5 linked regions of the Callithrix jacchus genome follow. The protein of the gene in region 5 binds, or shares a complex with, the protein of the main gene of each other region. Links are inferred from orthologs where the notes say so. Each region holds a gene or a part of one and is shown on either strand. Other genes may lie near its edges.

The links. The genes of interacting proteins can lie anywhere in the genome.
Region 1: the proteins of guanine nucleotide-binding protein G(s) subunit alpha isoforms XLas (region 5) and GPR52 are in contact, whole or in part, in a cryo-EM structure (PDB 8HMP), measured with the Homo sapiens proteins. The link is inferred for Callithrix jacchus from reciprocal best matches to the Homo sapiens genes GNAS and GPR52. Residues at the interface, in NP_000507.1 of Homo sapiens: Lys34, Gln35, Arg38, Ala39, His41, Lys216, Val217, Phe219, Tyr318, Pro321, Arg342, Asp343, Leu346, Arg347, Thr350, Ala351, Tyr358, Cys359, Pro361, Phe376, Cys379, Arg380, Asp381, Ile383, Gln384, Arg385, His387, Leu388, Gln390, Tyr391; in NP_005675.3 of Homo sapiens: Tyr74, Arg139, Ala142, Ile143, Thr144, Pro146, Leu147, Asn150, Gln151, Thr154, Pro155, Ile226, Phe227, Ile229, Cys230, His233, Thr234, Glu236, Ile237, Arg240, Arg243, Phe244, Ser246, His247, Tyr263, Ala264, Met265, Phe268, Arg269.
Region 2: the proteins of guanine nucleotide-binding protein G(s) subunit alpha isoforms XLas (region 5) and GPR4 are in contact, whole or in part, in a cryo-EM structure (PDB 8Z9O), measured with the Homo sapiens proteins. The link is inferred for Callithrix jacchus from reciprocal best matches to the Homo sapiens genes GNAS and GPR4. Residues at the interface, in NP_000507.1 of Homo sapiens: Gln31, Lys34, Gln35, Arg38, His41, Asp215, Lys216, Val217, Tyr358, Tyr360, Phe376, Arg380, Asp381, Ile383, Gln384, Arg385, His387, Leu388, Gln390, Tyr391, Glu392, Leu393, Leu394; in NP_005273.1 of Homo sapiens: Gln45, Arg49, Asn50, Leu52, Asp114, Arg115, Ala118, Val119, Ala120, His121, Pro122, Leu123, Arg124, Arg129, Arg130, Lys132, Tyr201, Ile204, Ala207, Val208, Gly210, Ser211, Val212, Ser213, Thr214, Glu218, Lys221, Ile222, Leu225, Asn290.
Region 3: the proteins of guanine nucleotide-binding protein G(s) subunit alpha isoforms XLas (region 5) and HTR1A are in contact, whole or in part, in a cryo-EM structure (PDB 9GL2), measured with the Homo sapiens proteins. The link is inferred for Callithrix jacchus from reciprocal best matches to the Homo sapiens genes GNAS and HTR1A. Residues at the interface, in NP_000507.1 of Homo sapiens: Ala39, Asp215, Lys216, Val217, Arg342, Arg347, Thr350, Ala351, Gly355, Tyr358, Phe376, Arg380, Asp381, Ile383, Gln384, Arg385, His387, Leu388, Arg389, Gln390, Tyr391, Glu392, Leu393, Leu394; in NP_000515.2 of Homo sapiens: Asn69, Ala71, Asp133, Arg134, Ala137, Ile138, Pro141, Ile142, Tyr144, Val145, Asn146, Arg148, Ile218, Ala222, Arg225, Ile226, Lys228, Thr229, Lys232, Val233, Asn325, Arg327, Asn328, Lys332, Arg339, Lys342, Thr343, Thr346, Leu347, Asn404.
Region 4: the proteins of guanine nucleotide-binding protein G(s) subunit alpha isoforms XLas (region 5) and GPR174 are in contact, whole or in part, in a cryo-EM structure (PDB 8IZB), measured with the Homo sapiens proteins. The link is inferred for Callithrix jacchus from reciprocal best matches to the Homo sapiens genes GNAS and GPR174. Residues at the interface, in NP_000507.1 of Homo sapiens: Lys34, Gln35, Arg38, Ala39, His41, Val217, Phe219, Thr350, Asp354, Gly355, Tyr358, Cys359, Tyr360, Phe376, Cys379, Arg380, Asp381, Ile383, Gln384, Arg385, His387, Leu388, Arg389, Gln390, Tyr391, Glu392, Leu393, Leu394; in NP_115942.1 of Homo sapiens: Phe44, Tyr47, Arg53, Ala54, Val55, Ile56, Phe57, Met58, Ile112, Arg115, Arg116, Phe119, Leu120, Met121, Pro123, Phe124, Phe126, His127, Asp128, Cys129, Gln131, Ser211, Leu212, Asp214, Met218, Gln220, Asp221, Leu222, Glu224, Lys225.

Annotation. Positions count from the first base shown.
Region 1 is NC_133519.1:28,618,049-28,622,146, forward strand, and holds the start of GPR52 (G-protein coupled receptor 52), read right to left. Parts: upstream 2,801-4,098; 5' UTR 2,619-2,800; exon of another isoform or gene 2,076-2,618; intron 967-2,075; 5' UTR 785-966; coding exon 1-784.
Region 2 is NC_133523.1:39,768,748-39,772,727, forward strand, and holds the start of GPR4 (G-prodeshotein coupled receptor 4), read right to left. Parts: upstream 2,801-3,980; 5' UTR 2,720-2,800; intron 1,329-2,719; 5' UTR 1,155-1,328; intron 1-1,154. UniProt on the Homo sapiens protein: Proton-sensing G-protein coupled receptor activated by extracellular pH, which is required to monitor pH changes and generate adaptive reactions. Activated by an optimal pH of 6.8-7.2.
Region 3 is NC_133503.1:145,656,266-145,660,489, forward strand, and holds the start of HTR1A (5-hydroxytryptamine receptor 1A), read left to right. Parts: upstream 1-1,424; 5' UTR 1,425-1,455; intron 1,456-1,661; exon of another isoform or gene 1,662-1,820; 5' UTR 1,821-2,207; coding exon 2,208-3,476; 3' UTR 3,477-4,224. UniProt on the Homo sapiens protein: G-protein coupled receptor for 5-hydroxytryptamine (serotonin). Also functions as a receptor for various drugs and psychoactive substances.
Region 4 is NC_133524.1:77,055,756-77,059,908, reverse strand, and holds the start of GPR174 (putative G-protein coupled receptor 174), read right to left. Parts: upstream 2,801-4,153; 5' UTR 2,684-2,800; intron 1-2,683. UniProt on the Homo sapiens protein: G-protein-coupled receptor of lysophosphatidylserine (LysoPS) that plays different roles in immune response. Plays a negative role in regulatory T-cell accumulation and homeostasis.
Region 5 is NC_133506.1:54,470,950-54,474,449, reverse strand, and holds part of guanine nucleotide-binding protein G(s) subunit alpha isoforms XLas, read right to left. Parts: intron 1,016-3,500; coding exon 957-1,015; intron 872-956; coding exon 752-871; intron 1-751. UniProt on the Homo sapiens protein: Guanine nucleotide-binding proteins (G proteins) function as transducers in numerous signaling pathways controlled by G protein-coupled receptors (GPCRs).

The sequences.
Region 1 (4,098 bases), on a different chromosome or scaffold from region 5:
GTCGGTCAGGGCTGTGTCCAGTCTCTCTAGAAGAATCTACCTCATGACTAGGGAATCGGGCTCTTCGGTCATTTATCTCTTTGGTGTGCTGACGGCAAATTTTGAAAATGTGGAAGTAAGTGAAGCAGACAACAAAGGCAGCAGGAGCATAAAGTAAACAAACAATAAAGCCAGTAAAATAGGCACTGGTGAGCCAAGAGGTGGCACACCATTCAAAAATGTCACCATGGTAACCAGGTTTCCCCCAGCCAAAAAAGGAAGGCAAGAAAATTAGGCAGGAGTAGATCCAGATCAAAATAATGCAAATTCTCAGGCGACAAGGGGTGACCAGTTGATTGTAGGAAAGAGGCTTGGTTATTGCAAGATAACGATCCACGCTGATGCAAGCAAGACATGCCATAGAAACACTTTTTAGAACTGAGATGATATATCCAAAAACCTGGCAAGTCAATGACTCGTGGACACCTGTGGAGTAGTGGAGAAGTGAGAGAGTAGGAACCAAGCAGCTAACTCCAACGAAAAGATCAGCATATGCCATTGTCTGAATGAAATAGCTGGTAGTATAATGATGTAACAGTGGAGCACAATGAAAGACAAAGATAACTGTTAAATTCCCAGCAATAATCAGAAATGTCAGCAACACAATAACCACTGTCTCAAAGATGCAGACATCCACCACGCTGTAGTGACCAAATCCAAGTGGGCAGGAGTGATGCTCGGACACATTCACAATGCCAGTGCTCATGTTCAGGATCCTCCATTCAGTCCACCTGGATTCATTCATGGCTTGGAAATTAAAGATGCCTGCAGACTTGGCTACAGCAAGCAGGTGTCCTGTTAAACACTGCACATGAGTGTTTCAGAACCTGCTTCAGTAGACAGTATCAGTGCTTCTGTCACAGCTGAGAGTCCCAGAGAGTGCTCAAGTCTCTTCATCAGCCTCAGTTCAGCAGTGACACACCTCAGCTTTCAGGGGGCGGGAGGTAGAGAGAAGGGGGTAAGTTAGAAAGGAGGTGAAAAGAGGTCACTAATTAGCTTCCTCTGGTGCCCTCAAAGAACTTTCTGCAGACATAAGGCACTTCTAGAGAAAACAGACTTCTTATTATCTTGCACTATGAAAAATTAAATCTGTAAAAAGAAAAAAAATGCCAAGGGAAGAAAAGCTTCTGTGGGCTGTTTGTTCTCCTAAAAGAAGCAGTTTCTTAGGGATCAACTAGAAAGAATGAGAAAAGAAAAACTCTTAAACTGTCTCAGGTTTCCTGCTTCATCTATGATGAAAAATGCATTCGTATTTTAGACTTTAAATAATTAAGATCTCAAATTTGGTTGAAAAGCTAAGAAAAAGTTCATTGTGGCAAAGAGTGTCTTTGGGCTTAGTTCAGGGATTGATGTTGGTGGGTCAACTCTATAATCTATTTCTCATTTTTCTAAAATCTAAGAAAAACAACTCTATCAAAGTTAATTTATAAAGATTCATCTCGACATGGGTAGAGTAGGGGGAATAAACAGACTCCAGATTACCCTATAACTCCATGAGAAAAAAGTATTTTTCCAATAGAAAAGATAATATACAATGAACTAATGAATTAACACCTGGCAAAATATAATAAACTTCTGAAGTTTTAATTCTGCATGCATTTTTAAAGCATTTAGATGAAAGCAGTTTTAGTACATTACAGTTACTGGTGGTACTAAATTATACCTCTTCCTTTTCAAAATGAAAAGAAATCACTTTTGCTATTAATTTGCACATACAACTTAAAATAATGTTTGTTATTTGATATACCACCTTTCTTATAACAGAGCATGATAAAATATATAGCTCATAGTTATTTCTCACCTTTGCAACTGTACACCAATTTCTCACATATATATGTAAATACATATTAAAGTTAGACAATAATAAAACTTTCCGATACACTCTGAGCTTATCTGACCAGAAATGCTGCCATTATTTATTACTTCAGTGTTTCTAACAGACTTCATATTCTATTTTGCTATCTTTTCTATTTTCAGTAGATGATTAACACATTAAATCATTTCTTTAACTATATCTTCTGAAAGTGGAAAATTACCTTGTTTATTACATTTGCAGTTATGTAGCAGCCATATGTTAAAAAATGCCTCTTCTATTTCTGTATTCTATTTTGAGCAAGTGCTCAATTAATACGGGGGCCATTAGATAGGTTGCAAGATAGTGTTATTTTAAAATACCTCTAAAGTATCAAGATGAGTTTAAATCCTAGAGTTTGAAATATTGCAAGGCTGGCAGGATAGAATCCATCCAAAATGCTTCCAAGGTCATTCTGATATCAGGTTAACATTTGTCAAAGTACTTTTTAAAAGTAAAGTCATTTCAGAGAGTCTCTTGTCATTCTTTGTTATCTTATCTTTTGAAGAAATAACATGCATTAGAAATGAAAACATTTCCTCCAGGAACAATGCAGCAGCTTAATAGAAAGCATTCTTCTGAAAGTTATTTTCTGGTGCACCACCAAGTCATTCAGGCAAGTCTTTCTTCTTTTGTTATAGCCATAGGATATTTCTTCTTGTAAATTCCTAGTTTCACCTATCACAAAATAGTTCTCTTGTTATAGGAATAAGGTAATGCTTCTCACCTACATTCACTCTTATCAGCTGCTAGGCTGGGCTGCTTGATTCAGAAGTCCGATTTACTGTGATGCAGTTACAAGGATGCTGTCTGTATATTCTTCACAATCTCTCAGCATCAATGCCTCCACCTGAGCCCAGGCCCTCCTCCTCATCATCATCCTGGGCTGATGCAGAAAAACTCACCATCAGAAAGGTGACTCGGCCCTCCTGCCCCAATCAACAGCACAGCCAATGGCTACTGCAGCTGAAACTGTCACTAGGTAACAGTTGCCAGGCACATGCAGGCTTATAGACTTACTCGGCAAGCTCCGATCAAGACTGACAAAAGAAGACAATGGAACTGACCGATCTTTATAATATATTAAGGCATTTATGAACTTCTCAAGTTATTCTCCTTATAGCATTTGAAAGGATTATTTTGTATGGACAGGACAGAAAAAATAAACTGGCATACTCCTGTAAACCCTGTAAAGAAATTACCACAAGGCACTATGACACTAAAAAGTCAGCAGTAATCTAATGCTCTTTGGCAGAAAAAACTTATTAATTATTAAAAATCTGCCAAGTCTTTATGAACTCAAGTGATATGACTACTAATTTCTCTCTAAAATACAGTTATATTTTAATTAACAGAAGTTAGAAATCATTTACTAATCTCTCCAATCCCCACCATACCCACAAAAAATTGCTGAGTTCGATGTATTTAACTGTACACAGCAATAGAACTAACACTACTGTACCCAAATCTATTCAGAGAAATACTGAAGGTCAAATATAATCTCAAAAGAGCATAGAAATTAGAATAAATAGAAACATTGCTTATCCACCTTTTATCCTAATATGAAAAAAAGGTCAAATAGTTAAAAAAATCTGTTCTAAGTGCTTGAGCTACACATACCTAAATTAGAACAATGCAAATTAAAATCAAATATTTGATGGACATTAAAAACATTTCTGATTATTTTGACTTACTACAGGAAAACAGTCACTATTTTAAACATATTTCTTATGGGATTAGCACTTTTCTTAAAGTGATTTTCAAATAATTTATAAATTATTTCAGAATTAAAATACAGCAGGAAAATGAAGATAAAAATGGAAAATGTTTGTTGAGTGTTTTCTATATGCTAAGCACTGTGCTATGTGCTTTATATACTGTTCCTTTATAAAAACCTTAAAACTATATGAAGTTGGTATCATCATTATCATTTTCCAAAGGAAGAAAGCAGATACTAGAAATAGTAAGTATAACTTGCCTATAATTACAGAGTTGTGAAACCAGGACTGAAATAGGTTATTATTATACTTAACACTATTTAAAAATTGCAAACCAAAACCACAATGAAATACTATCTCACACCAGTCAGAATGGTTATTATTAAAAAGTAAAAAAATTGAGATAGATGCAGAAAACGCCTTTGATAAAATTCAACACCCCTTAATGCTAAAAATTCTCAATAAACTAGGATGGAACATATCTCAAAA
Region 2 (3,980 bases), on a different chromosome or scaffold from region 5:
CTCCTCCCGGTTGCCACCAAGCTATCTCACCTCCCCCTTTTCCTCCTCTGTGGGCTCCTGCTCCCCCGCCTTCCCCCGGCGGCCCCAGAGGACCAGCCAGCTCCGGTCTGCTCATTAGGGATGAAATGTGATCACCACTCCTCGCTCCCCACCTGGTGTCTTGGCGGCCAGCGGAAACCAGGGGGCAGCCGGGCCACCCTAGCCGCCCCACTGCACCTCAGTTTCCCCATTTCAACCGAGGGGGTCTCTGTGCCCCCCACACCCACACTGCCCATCAGGGATACCAGTCCTTAGACTGCCTCTCTGACATCCTGGGTCCCCACGGTTCTGCGATCTTCAGGTTCTATCCTTAGTTCACTCTGCAGTTGAATGTTCTATTAGAACATCCTAGAGTGTTACTCTTCTTTCATTCTATTTATTACATCGCGGCTTTGGAAGCACCTACCCTTCTAAGTTTCCAATATTCTAGAAGTCTCACATTCCAAGATTCGAAAGTTCTATTGTTAGAATGCGCTATGATTTTTTAAGCGTTCTATGACTTTCATCATCTATTATTAAACCCTCAGTGATTTTTATCTTTCCCCGGGAAACAGTAATACGTATTTCCCTTTTCTCTTTTACAGAAATGGGAACGTACACTAAATACGGTGAGCCCCACTTCCTTTTCCTCCCCCCGCTTTTTCTTGTATGCTTTTGAACATTCCAGCAGCTGATTTCTGAGACTGTGCAGAATTCTAAGAAACTGTGGCTTCACAGAGGGAAGAGAAGGGCGTGTTAGTTACCACCTCCACCTGGCCCCTAAATTCTAACCACCTGCAGGGGACAGGAAGCATCCAGGCCCCTCTCTACCCTTTCCCTAGTGGGCCTAGCCTCAGCCCTCCCCGCTCACACCAGCTGAGTTATTATTTGTCTAGACACAAACCAAATTATAGGCCCTGTCCCCGAGGGAACGGTGGGCTCCAGGCGGAGGGTCAGGAGACTGAGGCTGGAGTTAAACCCGCTTCCCCTCCACCTCCCTCCCTCTCTTCCCAAAACTCCACCCCTTCCACCCAAACCAACTCTTGCCCCGCTCCCTCCCCACCATGGTTTTAGAAATATTTTCTCTCCTCTGCTTCTAAAACCCTCCCTTTTGGATTCCAGCCATTTGTACTCACCCTGGCGTCTCTCCCTCCTCATTGAGACCTCTTTCCCAAAATTGATCGACTTAGTGGTAGCAGAAGAAGCCAGCTCTCTGGATTTGGGCCTCAGTTGAAACCTGGAGTCCCAACCCTCCAGCCTGGCACTGACTCACCATGGAGACGTCTGCTCTTGGGCCTCAGTTTCCCCATCTATAAAATGGGAGCAGGGTGGGGGGTTGTTGGCCTAGATGGCTCCACAAACCCTTTCCAGCTCTCAGCTGCCAGCACTGAAAAGTGCCAAGATTTCAGCACTCCTCTTTTTGGATTGAAGGACTGCAGTATCCCGAGGACCTTTGACTGGAAGGATCTGGAATTCCCAGGCCTCCCCTCTGATCTTTCTTCCATCTGGGCCCTTTCATTCAAAGATGCTCGCGTTCAAGGTTCTTGATCCTATGATTTCCCAGAGTTCCAGGAGCCCCCATGGGTCGCTCATCCTCTTCTGCTGGGATTCCCCCAGAGAAGAAAACCTCCCCATCCTCACCCAAACCCGAAGTCAAGTTCATCTACAGAGACAGAGCTGGGGGTGGTTGCCTTCTTGATGGGTTCAGGAGGAGGAGGGCTGATGGTGGGCTTTGGAGGGGCTATTGGGGGGTGTGGCCCCATCCTCTTAATTTCTGCGCCAAATTCCCCAATGCGTATCCAGCCCGAGCACGCACACACACATCCCACAACTGATGTGTCACAGATATTCTAGAGCTGTTCCTCAGCCTAGTTTGGGAGGGCAGGTTGTCCAGTTCCAGGGGGGAAGAGTAAGGCGGAAGCAGGAAAGAGTTAACGGTGACCCAGCCAAATCCTGGAAGAGAGGAAGTAGGGGAGGAAGTCCACCCCCCAGCCAGGAATTCCTGAAATTGGCAGGCGGGGTGAGTGCAACCTCAGGGGCAGTGGGGTGGCTCCATGATGGGGGCCATGGGGTCAGAGTCCGCCTGCCGCAGGTCACAAGCCTCCTGTCCCCTAAGTTCGACTCCCAAGCAACTTCCCAGCCCAGAGGAAAATTCCGGGATGCCAGAGGTTTTGGAAGGAGAAACGACAGACTTGAAGGTGCCAAAACAGGGTTATAAGAGACGGAGAGACAGAGTCAGGGCAATAGAGAGAGACAGAGAAACAGGCAGGGAGAGAGCAAAGAGACACACAGAGACAGGGAGAGATGGATTCAGAGGCAGAGAGATCCACAGAGGTCCCACAACAGACGGGGGACAGGCAGAGGCAGGGGCGGGGGAGGTGGCACCCAGAAACAGAGACAGAGACAGACGGAGACAGAGACGCAGAGATCAAGAGATAGACAGAGACATCCCAGAGACACAGAAGGAGAGACAGGTCCAGAGGCAGAGGGACCACAGACACAGAGACCTCAGAGACCTCAGGCGTGACCTGGAGACCCGCAGAACCGAACCGAGCAGAGCAACAGAGGGGGCGGGCACCGAGACGGCGCAGGAGACTGAGGCAGCCCCCGAAGGGGCGGGAAGGAGCGGTCCCGTCACGAGCAGGGCAACCTAGTGAGACCCGGCGGCACCGCGGGCGGCCGGGGAGGGCCCGGCTCTTACCTGCGCACGGCGGCTGGACGGGGCGGGCGGCAGCGCCTCTCAGCTGCGTCCTAGTCCGGGCTCGACGGCGGCGCAGGGACCCAGCGGATGCCCCTTTGGGGCAGAACAGCGGCGACTCCTCCCGGCCCCCAGGCTCCAGCCGCCAGCCGAGGCCCCGCCCCGCCCAGGCCCGCCCCCATTAACCCCACCTCTGCCGCTGCCCCTTAAGCCCTTTCGGGCTTCACCCCACTCAACGCCTCCAGCCCCGGGGGAAGCTCATCTGCTGCTGGAACACCCCCCCCCAATCCTTCCAAGTCCCCCAGCGGGAAGGTCCCCTCTCTCTAACCACACCCCAACTTTAACAAGCCCTGAGATATGGGAAGAGGAACCCCCCCCCCCCGCCCCTCCGCTACTGGCCTTCCCTGGATTAAGCCCTTTCCTCCCTTAGAGACCCCAGGCCTCCGTCATTCATCTTCTGGTCCTTAACCTTCTGCATCATCCCCACCAAGGGAGAGAATAAAGAGTTCTGTTAGGTCCCCAACTCCAAAGTCAGGGCCACCCCTAGAAGGAGCTCTGGGGTTGCGGTTACAGCCTGTCTCTTGGTCAGACCTTAGGCTAGGGACATCCCCGTGCCTGTTTCCTCTTTGAATCAAGGTGGTCACTCATGGTGACTGCTTGCTTTTTCCTTTCTTCTCTTTCTTTCTTCCCTCCCTCCCTCCCTCCCTACCTCCCTCCCTCCCTCCCTCCCTCCCTTCCTTCCTTCCTTCCTTCCTTCCTTTTTTTCCCGAGTTTTGCTCTTGTTGCCCAGGCTGGAGTACAATGCCGTGATCTCACCTCCCAGGTTCAAGTGATTCTCCTGCCTCAGCCTCCTAAGTAGCTGGGATTACAGGTGCCCACCACCATGCCCAGCTAATTTTTGTATTTTTAGTAAAGATGGGGTTTCACCTTGTTGACCAGGATGGTCTTGATCTCTTGACCTCGTGATCCACCCACCTTGGCCTCCCAAAGTGCTGGGATTATAGACATGAGCCACCACACCCGGCCTAATTTTTTTTTTTCTTTTTTTTGAGACGGAGTTTCACGCTTGTTACCCAGGCCGGAGTGTAATGGCGCGATCTCGGCTCACGGCAACCTCCGCCTCCTGGGTTCAGGCAATTCTCCTGCCTCAGCCTCCTGAGTAGCTGGGATTACAGGCACACGCCACCATGCCCAGCTAATTTTTTTTATATTTTTTAGTAGAGATGGAGTTTCATCGGGTTGGCCAGGCTGGTCTCAAACTCCT
Region 3 (4,224 bases), on a different chromosome or scaffold from region 5:
ATTGCATTCTGCACTTTCCTTTCATTTTAGGCATGTAATCAGGATGTATAAGTGAAATGTTGTATTGTGTGTTTAATGTAGTTGCTTAAAAGTCCCATTCTTTCCTGCTCAAATGAGATTAAATTTGTTTTTCTTGTTTAAGGAAACAGCTTAGAAAAAACCCATGTAAATATCCTTATTTACAATTATTTAACATTTGGGAATGGAAGATGAAATACTATTATTTTCTGCAACAAAAGGTAAATTTACGTAAATGTGTCAGTTCCAAAGTTCAGATTATGGCAGCACAAAACCAACACGTGTGAAGGTTTTTGTCTAGCTTTATTACAATGGCATTCCCAGATAGGACTTGTGAATGACAGACGTTTCAGGCTTTAAAGGGAGCTACAACATATAATAGGCTTGATATATAAGGTTCAGAGCAAAGGAGGACACTAAAATAAATTTTTAAAGTAAATAGGAAAAAGATAAAACTCAGTGCTACCTTGCCTTTTAATAACCGTCTTCTCTTTCTAGAAGTTGTTGGATTTCCTCAATACTTGCTTAATTTCTGCATAAGGGTTTCTAGGTGGCACTCTAAAACATTTGCCGGAAGGTGGCGTCATAAACCCTCATTGCTTAGAGCTGTCCCAGGTGCTGAACTCAGTTTCTGTGGTTAACAGAGGCTAGGCGGTTAGCGAACAGAGATTCAGCAAGTTTCCCCCAGCGGTTTGCAGGCTCTGGTAAGAAGTGCAAAAGGCCATATAAAATGCCAGACTTCACTCAGAACACATATGCAAAATATTTCCATCTCTGAATTTGCTAGCCACAAAGGTATGTTCCCATAGCTATGTTCCCATGGTGTCACTGAAATTGAAAGTGTAGTAGTGATGGAAAAGTGTGTGTGTGTGTGTAGAATACATATCACATTGAGTTTTGTTCTTTATTTAGACATGCAGTTGTTTACCCCTCCTTGTCCCTTGTCCTTTGCCACGTCCTTTATAATTTCATTCTCTCCCAGCTCCCCAAGGTTAAAAAAAAATGTCACAGGCAATATCCTCCTGAGGGAGTCAGGCTGGACTGTTAGATGATAAACTGAGGTACTTTCGTGTTTGTTTGTTTGTTTGCTTTGAGACGGAGTCTCGCTCTGTCACCCAGGCTGGAGTGCAGTGGCGCGAGAACGGAGGTAGCTTTTTAAAAACGAAGACACACTCTCTCTGTCTTCTTCCATCAATTAGCAATAATTGAGAGACTGACCCAGGACTGTTCACCTTCCCATTCAGGCACCCTGTGCTTCCCTATCTCATCTCCTATTGTCACTCTGGGCTGCTGACACTATTTAAGAATTTGACAGATAATACGTGGCAATGAGTAGTTAGAATTTCCTCTTCTAAATACCCCCTCCCCAGTTTGGGTTGGAGGCGGAGTTTATTTGTTACAGCCTTGGTCTGACCGGCAGGGATCCGGTGTGTGCAAGTGAGTTCTGAGTCTCTTTTGACAAAAAGGGACTTGAATGCAAAGACGCAGAGCTAGAGGTATAGGAGGGCGGGGACCCACAGAAAAGAGGCACTCCTTGGGGTTCGGGAAGTGTTAGGAGGGGAGGGTTAGAGTGGGAGGGAGGGAGCCTGGCTTTCGAAGCGACTCACAGGGGGATAAATAATGTGGGGTGAGGAGGAAGAGGCAGACTGAAAGGAAGGCAAGTGGGGAAAAGGGGAAAGAAAGAGGCTGAAGAGAGAGAAGAAAGAGGAGGAGGGAGAAGGAGAGGGGGAGAAAGGGAAGGAAGGAAATAGGGAGAGGAGGGTCACTCAGTGACCGTGGAGGATGGGGCTTCTCGGTTCTAGATATTTCTGGGATTGGAGACTATTTACTCGTGGGAAGACTCCAGCTCCGGCAGCCAGTTGGGAAGCGGCAAAGTAAAATGGACAGCGACAGACAGACGTTCCAGCCACCTCTCCACCCCCCAGAGATCCCGGAGCTGCTTTCAGGCCAACTCCAGTTTCCCAGCTAGAGCCTCTGAACGCCTTGGACTGCGCGAGCCCAGGGAGCGCCTGAAAGCTGCTCCTCCGGGATACCTTCGCCGGAACAGTAAGAACTTCCTGCTTGGGTCCTTGGATTCCCTTCCTCCGAAACTTCCTTGGAGACTGGGCGGAAGACCCCAGGGGAAGGGGCGAAAGGGATCTTCGCTCTGCTTTTTCTTCCTTCCTCTTTCCCGCGCGGGGCTCACAGGCATGGATGTGCTCAGCCCTGGTCAGGGCAACAATACCACATCATCCCCGGGTCCCTTTGAGACCGCCAGCAACACTACTGGTATCTCCGACGTGACCTTCGGCTACCAAGTGATCACCTCTCTGCTGTTGGGCACGCTCATCTTCTGTGCGGTGCTGGGCAATGCCTGCGTGGTGGCTGCCATCGCCCTGGAGCGCTCCCTGCAGAACGTGGCCAATTATCTTATTGGCTCTTTGGCGGTCACCGACCTCATGGTGTCGGTGTTGGTGCTGCCCATGGCCGCGCTGTATCAGGTGCTCAACAAGTGGACTCTGGGCCAGGTCACCTGCGACCTGTTCATAGCCCTCGACGTGCTGTGCTGTACCTCATCCATCCTGCACCTGTGCGCCATCGCGCTGGACAGGTACTGGGCCATCACGGACCCCATCGACTACGTGAACAAGAGGACGCCCCGGCGCGCTGCTGCGCTCATCTCGCTCACTTGGCTTATTGGCTTCCTCATCTCCATCCCGCCCATGCTGGGCTGGCGCACCCCGGAAGACCGCTCGGACCCCGACGCATGCACCATTAGCAAGGACCACGGCTACACTATCTACTCCACCTTCGGCGCTTTCTACATCCCGCTGCTGCTCATGCTGGTTCTCTATGGGCGCATATTCCGAGCTGCGCGCTTCCGCATTCGCAAGACAGTGAAAAAGGTGGAGAAGACCGGAGCGGACACCCGCCGTGGAGCATCTCCGGCCCCGCAGCCCAAGAAGAGCGTGAATGGAGAATCGGGGAGCAGGAACTGGAGACTGAGCGTGGAGAGCAAGTCAGAGAGTGCTCTGTGCGCCAATGGCGCGGTGAGGCAAGGTGACGACGGCGCCGCCCTGGAGGTGATCGAGGTGCACCGGGTGGGCAACACCAAAGAGCACTTGCCTCTGCCCAGCGAGGCTGGTGCTACCCCTTGTGCCCCCGCCTCTTTCGAGAGGAAAAATGAGCGCAACGCCGAGGCGAAGCGCAAGATGGCCCTGGCCCGAGAGAGGAAGACAGTGAAGACGCTGGGCATTATCATGGGTACTTTCATCCTCTGCTGGCTGCCCTTCTTCATCGTGGCTCTTGTTCTGCCTTTCTGTGAGAGCAGTTGCCACATGCCCACCCTGTTGGGCGCTATAATCAATTGGCTGGGCTACTCCAACTCTCTGCTTAACCCCGTCATTTACGCATACTTCAACAAGGACTTTCAAAACGCGTTTAAGAAGATCTTTAAGTGTAAGTTCTGCCGCCAATGATGATGGAGGAGTAGCCGGCCAGTGCGGGGGTTACAGGATCCGCCCCATTCACTATGCTTGGACCAACCCTAGGGAATCAACACCTAAGATAACTTGCTACTTCTCTTTCTCAGCTTCTCTGCCCGCGGCTTGCGGACCTGGTCCCCTCCCCATTTCCCGCACCAGGGCAGGGCGCTTTGTGCAAAGGAGACCCAGCGACGGGGCATGAGAGACCAGGAAATTCAGAGAGTTTGTGAAAAGCGACATTGGCCCAGACTTTGCCCTTAGCATCAGTTTGATCTCAGCAATTGCCTCTTCTCTCCTCTGTGCCCTAAATCTTTGCGATGGATGTTTAATCCTTAGCTATTCAAGGTAGAAAATCCAAAAAATAAAAAAAATTGATAAACTGTACACACAGCCGCCGCGCCCACTAGGGGCTCCACCCGATCACCCAACTCCTAGAACTTGGACTTGAGGTTCGGGAATTTGCTCCATCTCTCTCGCCCTCTGGCCCTTGAAATATTCACTTTTTTCTCCCCGTTTTTATCCTTTCTTTTCTTTCATTGCTTCCTTCTCGCCCGTCCTGATGCACTAATCTGCTGGTCCGCAGAGGCGGAAGAGTCTGCTTTTCCCAGTGCCAACGGTGCCCCTGGGATTCCCGTCTTCGCGCAGACTTGAGACAACTGTCGTGCAGTGCACAACCCCTGCTTCCTTTGTTTCCTTTGAATCAAAACGAGTGACCAGAAGGTGTCTCTCAGAGTGGACTTGT
Region 4 (4,153 bases), on a different chromosome or scaffold from region 5:
CAAAGACTATACCAGAAGAACCCACTTTAATTTTCAAATATCAGCTAGCACTTAGTTATATGACAAACAGTAATAGCCAATCCACTAATTACTGTATCCTTTTCAGGATTCACATACTACCAGTAACCGTACATATTTATCTTCCACACACTCTAACCTTAGTTGATTGACCACATATGCCTGTTTATGTCAGACAGAAACCCTAAAATCTTGACTCCTTTCTCAAATCTGGAATCTTCTAGACCTCAGGACCTACTAAATACTCCCTCTTGTCTAATGAATTGGCCATAATGTTGCTCTGATATTCAATACAGCACATAAGCATCCAATATATGTCCTGGTCTGTGTTAATCTTGTATTACAGCATGTAGTATCAATTTGCATTTGGGGTTTTTTTTTTATAAGCACAGTAGGAAAAACTCTTTCCTATTCTTGGAAGGAACCAGTGGTAAAGCTCAGAAACTCAAGGCTTGTTACAGTATTAGGGCCCTTAGGAGAAGCCTGAAGTGTGCCCTGCTATTGAGAGATTCTTGAATGCTCTCAACATGAAATCTTTTAGTGTTTCCCAATGAATAATGCATGTCTTTTAATCCACAAACCTTGATAGTCAGCAAGGAAAAATGAACAGAGCACTGGACAAGGTATGAAAAAGCCTGAATTCTACCTTTGTCTCTGTCACACACAGAGGTACTTGACCCAGTCACTTCACTGCTGTGAGTCTCAATTTTTCCAACTGCACGATGTATGCTATGAAACTACTTTATTTCCCGAAGTATAAAAATCTTAGATGTTTGCCATTGCTCTGAAGTGACAAGAGTTGAAACTGTTTCTGATAATTTCTTATTCTCGGACTTGGGATCTAGAGACTGATCCTTGAGACCTATAGCATAGAAAGAAGACTTTAGGGGGATCAATGTAATGGGCAGTGGAAGGGGAACCTTCTGTGCCCCCCTTTTATCAGGATTGGAGAGAGATCAGGAAAAGGAGTTTACTTCCCTTTCTGATTCTGTGTAGCTGATTGGTGCCAAAAGTATCTATGAGTGGAATGCAGAAGGTATGCTTTTTTGTCTTCTTCATTTCGGTTACCTAGCACAAAGGGGGATCATGAAATGCATTCATTCCTAGGGCTCTTCAGGTGAAATTCAGTGAGATATTTGGAGCAATTTATTACCCACTTTGTGTTTATTAATCTTTACATTATTCAGCATAATATTAAACTGGCCCCAACAAAATAGATACACTAGGTGGTTCCTGTCTCATAAAAATATTATTACAAACATATAGCAAAGCAGAGCAGTACATGTATTCACAAGTGCAAAGCACATTATCTGTAACTAAAAGTATATCTTCCTTGGATACAAACTTTTTGGCATATTCAAATGTTTGCCAGTGTGACTGGTATAATCTTGCCCTGAGTGGAAGAACTTTAATCCTCTCTAAAAGTTCAATATTTTTTTGTTTTTATACCTGATATATACAGAAGCTAAAAGAAAAATAAAATACTCCTTGCTGAATGACCCAAAGCTCTCTAAAGCATATACTTCTGCTTATTGAATAAAATTATCACTTTTTCTTTTATGGAAAATTTAGAACAGTATAAAATGAAGTTTGTATATATTACTGTTGACAGGAGGAAGGAGCAGGAAAGTTATTTGAGATTTAATATTGGGTCATGTTGTACCACATCCCTCCTCATTTCCATCTCTCTTTCAAGCAGGAATTCATGACTTTGTTTCTTTTAGTCTCTGAATGCAGCTCCTAGCAGTTACACATGATTGATAGTGTCATTATATGATTTAAAGTCAAAAGGCACCATCCTAAACATTTTCTCTTGGAGCACAAAAAAGAAACGACAGGCAAACAAGGAAATAATTGCACTTACATTTTGTCAAAATAAGTCCATTTTGAGTATCAAGAAATGCAAATTAAATTCAAAATCATTTTAACCATTGTTGATTTTTTAATATGCTGATTACTTACTATAGTAGGTAGAGCTTATCTATGAAAAACAGACCAACTATGACTGTTATATTTCTTATTTTCCCTTTCTCTCATTATAAACAAGTTTTCTTAAATGTGTTTGAAAACAGAATGTTTACATCTATCATTAATTACAACAATTAACTTTTAACTTTTACAGTGAAAATAAGTAGCTTACATAAGCTTATAGGAACATGCATATATGTTAGGTCCTGAAATATTATTGCTTTCATTTTTTAAATAATAGCTCATTTTGAAAAGCACACAAAGTTAACCAGTTTAGTTATGCAGAAGATAAACATAGCACTCCCGAAGAGTAATAGCAACAAGTAGATAAAAATTATCCTGCATCTTTATGTAAGCAACTCTACTTAATATAAAACAGGTTAAATTGCAAATGTTCACAGGAATGTTTTATTGAGTATCAATTGAGCTAATCACATTACTAAAAATCTCTCCATGTCAAACATATTTTCCCAAGTTTAAAGTTGCCTCCCTCCTCTGGCAGCCCACCACACAATTATTTTTGTTTGTGCAAATACCAGAAAAAAAATAACATTTAAGGATGGTACAAGTTCATTATATCCATAAATGTCCTTCGACTTGACAAGCTGTACAGATATTGCGTGAAGAGTCCAGTTCTAGATATTAAGGGAAAAATGCACAGATGAGAGCTAATGGTGCATAAATATTTAGAACCTACCATTTCAGTTTCTTTCTGTTTTCTTCAGAGATCTCCAAAGAATTCATGTGACAGCCACTCCAACAAGGATGCTGCTGATCTGTGCATCAATGTAGGCTCCCTGTTCTGAAAATGACCAATCCAATTCTTCTTCACTAGCAAAAGAGAAAAAAAAGAAGGAGGAAGAAAAAGAGAAAGAAAAAGAAAAGAGGAAAGGAGAGAAAAAGAAAGGGAAAGGGAAAGGGAAAGGGAAAGGAAAGGGGAAAGGGGAAAGGGGAAAGGAAAAAAGGAAAGAAAGAAAGAAAGAAAGAAAAGAAAGAAAGAAAGAAAGAAAGAAAGAAAGAAAGAAAGAAAGAAAGAAAGAGAAAGAAAGAAAGAAAGAAAGAAAGAAAGAAAGGAAAGGAAAGGAAAGGAAAGGAAAGGAAAGGAAAGGAAAGGAAAGGAAAGGAAAGGAAAGGAAAGGAAAGGAAAGGAAAGGAAAGGAAAGGAAAGGAAAGGAAAGGAAAGGAAAGGAAAGGAAAGGAAAGGAAAGGAGGGAGGCAGGAGAGATGGAGGGAAGGAAGAAAATAAATAAAAGTAAAAATAATACAAAATAATAGAAAGCCAAAAGGAAAATTATGAAAATAAAAGGAAAAAAATTATTAGGAATATCTAACCACTATCATGTTGAAAAACATAGTAGTAAGATGTCAGAGTGAATTATCCAAGCCCTCTCTATTTACACTGAACCTTTCCGTTATCTAGGGGGCAGCCAGCATGCTCTTTTGCTTTCATTCTCTCCTCCCCCCGCCCACCCCTGTTGATGCAGGGCTACATTACAGGCTGTATGTAGAGCCTGCAAAGCTTCACACTTAGGAAAATAAATTCTCCTTTCTATTTCTAGGGCCACAGTGCATTGTCTTCTGTGGTTGCACTAAGCTTTGAGTTCGTGATAACACACAGCCTATTTGTCTATGGAGTCGTTCGCTGAAGCTAGGATCCCTGGAGTTACTTCCATAGACAGTGGACCACTACAACCTTAGGGTGATCCTTTCTCACAGCCTCTCACTTGTGTTCACTTACCAAAGTGAACATTCTTAAGAATGTTCCCTAGAAAGCACCCAGTAGAAGAAGTCAAGGTGACCATGATCTTTGCCTAGGGCATTCTTGAATACACAAACCTCTACAATTCTGACATTGAATTAAATACCCCACTCCTTAAGAGGAATTTCGAGCTATAATCCACTTTCCACTTCCAGTCTACACATTTCCCATTGCTCTCAGGGTCCCTGTTACCAAGAAGTGCAGGTAAAGCCCCCATTTCCTCTCAAGTGGTTAGGCAGGATCCCATGAAAAGAAGTTGGTTTTCTGTAGCCCAGACCCCACTGCCACAGGCTCTTGAAGATTGTGTTCCAAGGAGTCTCAGAGTTATAGACACTTGAGACCAGTGCCACACTGTATTAGGCACCTAATATCCCCCTCCCCCACTCTCCCAAAGATAGATGAACAGGA
Region 5 (3,500 bases):
TTCCCACGAAAGCCTGACAAAAGGAAACAGTAACTCATTGTTTTCGCTGTAGACAAGTCTCTTCCTTGTGGGCCTTACAAACGCATCCATCTTTCCAGTTCCCTGCTTATAAGCCACTCTCCCCAAGAAGGGGCCTAGACGTATATGTTTGGGCTTGAACGGTTTTTTTTGTTCCCTAAAAATAGTTCTTTAGGGAGCCAATGGTGTCATGCATCCAGAGGAAAGTCTTTTCCATGTGTTCTATTTTATGATGTATTTTTGAATTACAATTTAGATATATTTAAACATTTTTTTAATAATGAGAAAAGATTTCATTTGCCCAAAGACCAGGACTGACTTTAGGAAACTCTTAATAAATATGAAAAGGTCACCTGTTTAAAATGAGAATGTCTCCCATTTGGCACTTCACTGAGGCATCCCAAGGGAACTTAGGGCACTTCCAGTGGAGTAAATGGACAATTAGTATTTGTGCACCGTATTTAACATACAGGTTTGTTTGTCCTAAGATGTGAATAATTAAGCCTACCGTAGCTCAGGAACTATTTTCCTCCTAAACATTTACAATCTAATAAAATGAGATTGTAATATTAAAGAGTGATGTTTATTTGTGATGGATGTCACTGAAATGTGTTTTGCCTGAGGTGTGGTTTGAACACTTTTGCCCATGTGCAGGGCTGTCACTGATGTTCTTAGAGGAACACTATGCTCAGGTGAGTGGATCTCAGGCCACATAAGTCGGGGTGTAGCTTACAGGAGGGAAGTCGAAGTCAGGCACGTTCATCACACTCAGAATGTAGTCCACTCTGAACTGGTTCTCAGGGTTGGCCAGCTCCACAGGGGGTACCAGGTTGCTCATGGCGGCCACAATGGTCTGAAAAGGATTGAGCAAAGTGGTCAGGGAGCAGTACTGGCTGGGAGGGGCTGTAAGACAGAAAGTGCAAGGAGCCAGCACGTACTTCGATTGCCTCTTTCAGGTTGTTTTTGATGTCCTGCACTTTGGTTGCCTTCTCACTGCAGTGGGATTGAAAAAAGAAGAAAATCATATTGCATCGTGTCAATTGAGAGTATTGCTTGCATAAAGATATTCCGACTACAAAGCATAGTATTCTGTTCTTCAAGGAGTTGTGGGTTCAGATCTGTGCAAAGATTGGAGGTAGCTCAATAGACATGGCTGCAAATTGTAACCTCCCAAATGTGTCCGGAGGACATGCCCAATGGGACAGATGAGCAAACTGCCTTAGCAATCATGACTGTACCAAAAGTTGCACACAGGTCACCGACTCTTTCAGGTGGTCCCATGGGCTTGAAGCCCCATACTACATACTAACACTTCTGACCCTGTCAGCATCTGGGTAGGGGTGAGGCTGAAATGACAGGTCACTAAGAGTTTGCAGTGGAGCAAAACAGTCCCCTATTTTGATGTAAAATTCACTCAGTTGCTAGATTAGCATACTGAGAGAACCAGTGAGCACAGGTACTGGTGTTAGTAATAGTTCAATACAGGGGCCTGGGCACTCGGTGACTCACGCCTATAGGGCAGATTGTCTGAGGTGTGGAGTTTGAGACCAGTCTGGCCAACATGGTGAAACCCCATCTCTACTAAAAATACAAAAAAATTAGCAGGTTTGGTGGCATGCACCTCTAATCCCAGCTACAGGGTGCGGGAGGCTGAGGGAGGGGAATTGCTTAAACCAGGGAGGTGGAGGTTGCAGTGAGCCTAGATCATGCCACTGCACTCCAGCCTGGATGACAGAGCAAGACCGTCTGGGAGAAATAAAAAAAGGGCCAGGTGCCATGGCTCATGCTTGCAATCCCAGCACTCTGGGAAGCTGAGGCAGGTGAATCACGAGGTCAGCAGTTCCAGACCAGCCTGGCCAACATGGTGAAACCCCATCTCTACTAAAAATATAAAAAATTAGCTGGATGTAGTGGCACGTGCCTGTAATCCTAGCTACTGGGTAAACTGAGGCAGGAGAATCACCTGAACCTGTGAGGTGGAGGTTGCAGTAAGCAGAGATTGCACCACCGCAACCCAGGCGAAAGACTGAGACTCCATCTCAAAGAAAAAAATGGTTCATTACAGGTCTCAGGGCTTGGCAGCAAGTCACAGGTGTGCTGCTCCGGGCGCTCAACTAGCAGCAATGAACTTTCTAGTTTATGATATTAGTGCATGTTGGTCCATGTGCATAGGTATCAAATAAGATTCCACCCCCTAGATGTTCTTATACTCTATGGGGGAAGGGGCCAGATCCCTCTGGTAAGTAGAGGTTGAAGGTTTTGTAGCTTTTCCTTGACTTTATCTCGGACAAATGGGATGGCCTGTGTGGTCTTTACGGAATGATCTATATTCAGGGTCACTGGTCCTACAGGTAAAGGCCACACCCTCTGGCTTCTGGGGACCCTAATGTTAATTTTTGTACCAGATTACACTGATCCAAATGCCGTATGTCTTTCAGAAACTAGCCTTCTAATATAAGCACAGCCAGGGAAGGTTCTGGAGTTTGTGTTTTTAGGGGGGGCAAGAAAGGGCCTCTCGGAGTGTCTCACCAGGTCTACAGCCCAAAAATGTGCAGCACACCCAGCACACCTGCTGTACCTGTTAGGCCCTGGGAGGTGAGAGCATTGTTGTACAGAAGGAAAGTGCTATGGTCCTGCCTCTCTGATGGGGAAAATGAGGCGCGGGGCGGGGGGGGGGGGGGGAAGCCTTGATTTGCAGAGGCAGAAACTGATGGGGGTGGGAGATACAGGGAATAAAGTTTATCTTTTTCACTGTATTTTTTTTTTTTTAATCTTTTGAGATTCCCAGTTTTTGAAGCATTCACTTGGCTGATGCGCCAATTCATAGAATGGAGGTAGAAATTAAACATATAATTCCCTCCAGACTAGAACATGACAAAGTCAAGGTAGAGAAGAGGAGGAGGGAGGTTAATTAGAAACAGTGAACGAGCAGGGCAGGGCGGTCAGTGGGGAAGGAGGGGAGGGGATGGATGGTGGGGTCAAGTGCAAGCCTGCCCACAGGCCTTCCATAAATAATGTGGTCTTCCCTTTCTCAAAGAACTCTACTCCCGAATTTCCTTCTGAATTAACGTCTGCGTACTTATTTGAGGGAGGCTTCACAGGTCTCCGAGCCACTGTTCTTCTACACTGAAGAGCTGGCAGAGTTCAGAGGGGCCATGCTCATTAGTGGAGGTGGGTGTCTGGGGAAGGGAGGCAGAACAGATGGTGCCAGGAATCCCCTCAGGGCCATTTAAGTAAAAGTGGTACAGGTCCAGAGAACCTCAGAAGCACAGATGACAGGGAGAGGTGAGCTTCGGACCTTGTGCACAAATCTGAAATCTGATTCGGGCCCCCACACTCTTAAAGCAACCACCATAAAGTGAAAGGGACCAAGTCCTCACCGCTCTGTGGGACTGTCTGCTTTGTATGTGCAGAATCGAACGAAGCTCATTTCTAAATTTAAGAATTTCTGGCCTTGGTATTACAGTCTAACATCAATTATT